Linked DNA regions of Tribolium castaneum. The protein of the gene in region 2 interacts with the protein of the main gene of each other region in a pairwise test. Links are inferred from orthologs where the notes say so. Each region holds a gene or a part of one and is shown on either strand. Other genes may lie near its edges.

Region 1 (2,834 bases), on a different chromosome or scaffold from region 2:
CGAATAAATAAACGTGTTTTATTCACACAGTTATTTCCCCCAAACCTCGTCCGGTGTTACATAACCTCACTTTTTGCAATTCCCTTGAAACTATCATAATTGGGTCACAACTCAACAAAATCGCACTTTAATAATTACAAATGAGTAGAGAGGCCCGCATTGGAAAAATAAGCACACCGTTTGGTTGAATTAACCCATTTTTGTGGCCTAACCTCAAAAAACATTTCAAGTGTTTAAAACTGGGCATTTGAATTATAATTGGGCAAAAGATGACTTTGGCGCCGCAATTAATTGATGTGTGCCGATTGTACTTAACTAGAACTAGTTTTGGTGTGTTTGGCCCAACTTTGGGCAACCTAACCTCACAAAAACCAAGCGTTTTATTTAGCAATTGTGGGCGTTTGGTACGATTTGGCGTCCAAATTAGGCCAGAAAGCAACGTAACGATCGTGTTTTTGGGGATTTGTGGTGATTTTGGGGCCGTAACCCCACAAAAAAAATGGGGGCTCAAGTTGGATGAAAGTACTTCTTTATTGATTATGTTACATAAGCGAATTAAATAATCTATCCCACGATTTAGTCCACTCACTTAAAAATAAAATAAAGGGCCCCCTCGAGCGTGGTAGAAAAAAAATTCGTAAAATCACAGTTGGTGTAATCGCCCCACTAGTCCGTCGGTCTCTTTTCGCTGTGTTTCTTCGTGAACTCCTCGGCGTTTTTGGTGAACTTCTTCTTGTCTTTGATGTATTCCTCGGCCAGATCGGCCCTGAGGGGGTGCTCGGGCTCGGGCTCGTTGACCAGCGCCACCAGGGCTTGGATCACTTGATCGGTTTTGGTGGCCGGCTTCCAGTTCTCAGCGCTGATGATCGGGAGGCACACTTGCCCCTTTTCGTCGATGTTCGGGTGGTAGATTTTCGTCTTGAAGGTGATTTTGGGGGGCTTGAAGGGGTACTCGGCCGGAAAGTTGATCTCTATCTTAAACGCGCCCTTGTTGTACGGGGGGTTGTCCTAAAACCGCGCCGTGAGCTGGGGGCGAAGCCTCGCACACTTACCGGAACTATGAGCCCCTGCCATGTCAAAATGTTCGTCTCGTCGACCTGAATGTCCCGGAACGACTTCAGCCCGGAGTTCCGGATGTCCCCCAACTCCTAGCAAAAATACAGAATGAGCCCGGAATCTCGCCCGGAAAATACCCACTTTTTGCAGTCTTCGCGTGGCCGCCATGTCGCGGATTTAGTCCAAAACGACCGGAAACGTAATAATATCAAAAAAAGCACTTGAATTGTTGGGAAAAAGCAATTTTTAATCACCCATTACACACTGAAATTTGACAGGTGAGGTGGGGTGACAGTCAAGTGTGCACGCACACCGCCAAATTCCCTAGGAACTTAACCTCGAAAATGCACTTTTTCGGGGTTTATCTGCTCTATTGCACCAACCCCAAGTACAAGGGGCGCGTCTACATCGGCTACACGGTGGACCCCAACCGCCGCATCAAGCAGCACAACCGCGGGAAGCAACACGGTGGCGCCTGGAAGACCAGTCAAAAGGGGCCCTGGTAGGTACAAAACGCCACACACCGGCCCTGTATAACACTTTCAGGTCGATGGTTTTGATAATTCACGGCTTTCCGAACAATATCTCGGCTCTAAGAGTAAAAATCGGACGTTGATTTGGTTTCAAATCTAGGGTTTTTTTGTTCTAGTTTGAGTGGGCGTGGCAACACCCGCACGTTTCGCGCCGTTTGGCGCACGTTTCGAAAAAAAATACCAAAGAAAAAGTTTACGATTTTACGATTAGGGTTTTAAGCGAAATGTTGCAAGTGGGGCCTTGGAAAAGGCTCCCGCTGACGATTCGCTGGCTCAATGATGAATTCAGACGCGATCTAGAGGTAAAAATTGCCAAAAATTTGTAAAAACTTGTCGTTTTTTTTTTTGTAGAAAAAGCCACCGGACCATATGCCAATTTGTTACGGCCCAGTTATTAGTAAAAAAATCCCAAGTGTTGTCACACTATCGCACGAAACGAATTTTTGTTATTTGTGTAATGATGAGGTTTTTAATGGAATGAAGTGTTTGAATTTTGAGTGCGATTTAAACGCTCATGTTATTTGTTTGTCCAAGTGTTTTCTCAAAGGGGGCGACTACGTGCCGGTGGAGGGGCGGTGCCCCAAGTGTTGCCAACCCTGTCTTTGGGGGGATTTAGTCCGCAGGTTTAAGGGCTACCACAACCAGGACGTGGAAATCACCAACTTAGGGGATTGTGAATAAATTGCTCAATTCTAATTTAAATTATACCGACTTTTACCACGATTACAAAGTTGGCAACACTGGCAAACGTGCCGTTAATGGCCATTTCATTACAACTTATTATTATTATTATTATTACAAATATATATTTTGGTGATTTTTTTTGTTTTTTTTTCCTAGACCCACTTGACAAGACGACATGATTAATTGTTTGTACAAAAAGAAAAATGTTGAATAAATTTGTAATTTTTGCAAAAAATTGTTTTATTTTAATAAATTGTCGGCATTTATTTATGCATTTTGTGGATGAATGTGGTGACAGAGGTCGCAGGCTGGGTCAGAGCACTGACAGACATATTATAAATGGAAGGAAACGCTCGCGTTTGCGTTTCATCACCTCTGAATTATTTTTACTGCTACCATATGTGAATAAGTTGGGAGTTTTTCATTAAAACCGGCGAGAAATTTCCGTTTTTCGTCTTCTTCCGGCAAATAATCAAACGGAGGAAAAAGTTCAAAACGATTTTATTTCACTTTTTGATTAATGAGATTATTTCCACCAAATCGGTCGGGGAGTGTACGGGG
Region 2 (4,317 bases):
AAATTTTTTTGAAACAATTTAAAAACTTCTACTAAAAAATAATAAATAAGCATTGTACAAATTCATATATTAAATAAGCAATTGAAGAATTTATTTCTAAAATGCAAAAAATACAACTGTTATCACAGCTAAACGAATGGTTAAAAAATCGTTGTCAACATTATTTTTTTTAAGTGCCTGCATAATGTTTTGTTATGATGTGCATTTTCTATAATAAGGAAAATACGAATTTTGAAGATTTCATCAAAATTTAACCTTTGGTTTACAAACTTATAGTTTAAACGAATTATAAGTCAAAAACAAAATATAGAAGCAGCATTGGCCAAAATTATGTTCTCAGAACATGAGTTCCAAAAAGTGGCACTTGTTTTTCTCTAAACCTCTCTTACGCCCGGTATTTCATTCGATGGTTAAACCAAAATATTTTGGTTACCAATTTAATTCCTGGTTTGACGTATTTTAGTGCTTGGTTATGATTTAACCGAGGTTAAAATCTTAACCGAAAGAAATTTGTCTGGCTACCAACTTTTTTCAGGGTTTTTCAGGTCATATTAATGCCCAGTGTCCTTATTTTTTTATCCTAATGTTTTCTCGAAATATCATGCAATTTTGCAACTTCCTGCGACTTATTTTTGCCGGTCATTTGGAACATGAATGCTGTAGATGTTTATTGTACTTTAAGGAATAGTTAGAAAAAATGGTGAAGATATCAAATCAATCCTAAAAGCTCCTATTTTAAACCAATTTCTACTAAAGCGGTTAATTTTTAAGAAAACGAAAAACCAATCGTCTTTTAAGGAACATTTTTTTGAAATGTGAATACGTAATTGGGTTAAGATAATAAACATCAATTACGCACGCGCTGATGCCAAAAAGCTGGGAATTTAACCCAAATTCTATTAAAGCACTGAAATACGCATTCAAAATTAAAAACTTGGCTAAGACTTATTATCGGTTAGTTACCGAAAATTCTAACCAAGCACTGAAATACCCTATTCCGGCATCCAAAATGCATCACCCTGTACATCCTACAAGTGTATTAATTTTTCAGAAAACGGGAAAAACCTCTCGTCTTTGAAAGAACAATTTTTTCGAAATTTAAATACGTGGTTGGGTTACCATAATGTACAGATATTTGATGAAATCAAAAATAAAAAAGTGTTGTTTTTGCACAAAATATGTAAAAGTTTTCTGGAAATTGTACTGCTTATATATATGAAAAACTAAATGCCAAGTTTTTTTATAAAGGTATAATCCGATGAATAGAGAATTCTAAAAAAGCTTCATCTAAAGTATAACAAAGAAAAAAACGAAAAAATTTTTTTTTAAACACATTACTCTATATTTAATATGCTTTCGAAATTAAACATTTTGTTTTACTTAGTAATTAAGGAGTTTGTACGATTAAGCGAGAAAGCAAAATACAAAATACTTTTAAAAATTGCATCAGAAGTGCCATCAATGTTTTTTTTTATTGAAAAATGAAGACCAAATACTGAAAAAGTTTGGAACTAAAGCCATCAATTAATAAAATAAATATTAACAAAAAAGTACTTTTCATATAATCCTCCCTTTAGTCTTGAATTACGGAGATCTAAATACTAGGAGGCGAAACGACATACAAAATAATGTTTCTAAGTACCCAAACATTTAGCACGACGAAGTAAAAATGAAGGGGCTTCGAGCATCAAATTCTTATGTTGAGAAAAAAAATATTATATAAAACGCTGCGACTACAGTATAAGATAGATAGATAGATAGATAAAAAAAGAACATTTAAATGTAGTTTTCGATAAAATGTTTGAACAGGTTTAATACAGAGCGCCATCTAGCGTCGATAGAGAAACTAACGAAAATGTGGACTTTTTTTCCGTCATGTCGCATCCAAGTATTTAGGTCCGTATTTTGTCCACATTCACATATCGGTTCCCGACCAAAGGCTGGAATGGTTTACTCCCCGACCCTAACGGTCGGGAATCGGTGATTGTGTACAAAATACGAAAGGTCCGGTCAGCTCTACCTGATTTATTTGTACTTCAAAATGGGTGACCCAACAGTCCTTACAAAACATGTGAGAACACGACAGGCTGAAAAACTTCTCAGCCGGTTGGACAACGACACACACTGGACACGTGATGTATCTGGAAAGGGAGAGACTCGGGGGCGTGACTGGGGGCTTGATCCTCGAACTGATGAGCAGTTCGGAGGCGTCCTTGCGGAACTTTTCAATGATTTTGTTGACGCGCCACTGGTGGCTGAGCAACAAAACCTTAAATAAGTCCAATGTTAAAGAGTTTAGCGCGCTGGCTGCGGTTTACTTTGGCTAGGGAAGGAGTGATTTTGAGGTTGTAGCTGAGGCATTCAACAGTTTCGTTAAGTAGCCGCTCCACTTGTTCCTCGCCCAGGCAGTCGTACTTGAAGTTCTCCGGGTCGGTTTTGCTTGGATCAATTTGCTCGATCTCGCTGTCGTCGACGATGTTGTAGTAATCATCATCGTCAAAACAGTCATTATCATTATCCGAGCACTCCATGTCCGACTCCGGGGCCTGGGAGCTCAAGTTTATTGCGTTCTCCATTCTGGCGCTGGTTAACGGGCGATCAAGAAGTCGTCATTACTGCAATTTTGGGTGAAGGAGTGTTTTGTACAAATCACCTGTTTACCTGTGTCAGATTACGGCCGCCATTTCTCCAAACAAACACAATCACATTTTATAGCACACTGACACTGACATGCACCTGGTGAATGCAGCGTCCTGTCCTACCGGCTGAGCCCGGCTCTGCGTGGACTCACCCAAAGCTACCGAACTATATTTAAACAAAACAAAAAATCGCAACACTGAGTCTTATAACTACCACAAAAACACAAGATAAGTGAGATAAGGCAACTGCAAGTGTACCGGCGTTGGTGCAAGCCCGGTTCGCCCGACCGGGCCGGTGGTATGGCGCGTGACGTCACAAATGGGCGACATTTCCCCCAACCAGTCATGGTAGCCGCCGAGTAAGCGCCTGGCTCGATTTTCCAAATTTCTACGATTCCAGAACTACTGCGAACTGTCATGTCTGTGTTATGGCGTCAATCTCCCTGAAGACATTGGGAACATTTTGGTGAATATTCGCGTTTTGAGGACGTTATTGTGGTAAAAAACTTTAGAAAATTATGGTGGGCCGACCGAATGTCCGCAGACGAAAAATCAAATTTCGTACTGACGGCTTCAAGATATAATTTTGGTTAATGGTTATTAATCCTTAGGATCATTATATAAACAAAGTAAGTGATACTGATAGCTTTGCGGCGCCTTATCGCGCTGTGATACCCCTGTAAAGGCTTGTTTTCGCCACTGGGACATGCACATGTGGTCGGCTTGATTGATAAAGTTGAAACCACTTGCCTTCTCATGTCACATTTCACCCCTTGCCTCCTTATGTCACGTCTTAACCCCCAACTAGTACGGGCTGGGGGCCCCTTGTCCCTTAGTAACAACGTTCTAATTCTAATTTATTCAATATAACGTTGCTTCCAACTATTCATTCTTTTTATGTTTTAGATAAAAAACGGATGGACTAATAAAAACAAGAAATTTTATCATTTAAGGTAAGTTTACTTCATCTCGGTTTTATGTCCAACAATTAACACCAAAACAAATTAAAAATACAGTAAAACATGTGTTAACATAGGCGTGACGAACTGCACATTTTTGCACATATTTAAATCACTTTGTTTGTTTCGAGAACCACCACTGCACAATTTTTAATTTATTAATAAAGGGTTGAATATTTTTGGGTAATTGAAAGTACTGAAATATAGTGAAATCTCCTATAAGCGGACACTGACGGTGGCATGATTTTTGTCGTGTTAATAGGGGTGCCCTCATAGAAAAATAATGTATATGTTACGGCTAATGTGTACCTAAACTTGACTAGTTTGTAAATTTAGTATTATCTAGAGAATACTTTTGAAAATTTATAAACTAGGCGCTATTTTAGTAAATTGTCATTTCTGCTAAAATAGCCATAGGTTTGGCTAGTTTACAAACTAAAAAAAATATTATTTATTAATTGGTACAATACAATGAACTATTTCTTGGAAAAAAATATTTTTTGTTCAAAATTTACTACGTCTTGCTCATCAATACTCGCAGATTCGTCAAAAATTTACTTAAAGTTTATTTATATTGTGACAAATTTAAAACGTTTTGTCACTCTAAAAATTTGATTTGGCAATATTGTCGCCAACTCTTTAGTTTTCATCCCGACAATTGATCGGAAAAATTTTTAGAATATTTTTATTAAGCGGTTTTATAAACCAGTTATAAGTTA

Evidence for each region.
Region 1: the proteins of ari-2 (region 2) and Ubc10 interact in a two-hybrid assay, tested with the Drosophila melanogaster proteins (2 studies listed by BioGRID). The link is inferred for Tribolium castaneum from reciprocal best matches to the Drosophila melanogaster genes ari-2 and Ubc10.

The regions. Positions count from the first base shown.
Region 1 is NC_087401.1:17,188,657-17,191,490, reverse strand, and holds Ubc10 (ubiquitin-conjugating enzyme E2 L3), read right to left. Parts: upstream 1,340-2,834; 5' UTR 1,225-1,339; coding exon 1,198-1,224; intron 1,149-1,197; coding exon 1,053-1,148; intron 1,009-1,052; coding exon 667-1,008; 3' UTR 513-666; downstream 1-512. Other genes in the region: structure-specific endonuclease subunit slx1, read left to right, coding at 1,401-1,558, 1,603-1,654, 1,706-1,891, 1,941-2,270.
Region 2 is NC_087403.1:8,300,992-8,305,308, reverse strand, and holds the start of ari-2 (potential E3 ubiquitin-protein ligase ariadne-2), read right to left. Parts: upstream 2,813-4,317; 5' UTR 2,662-2,812; intron 2,616-2,661; 5' UTR 2,577-2,615; coding exon 2,319-2,576; intron 2,270-2,318; coding exon 2,021-2,269; intron 1-2,020.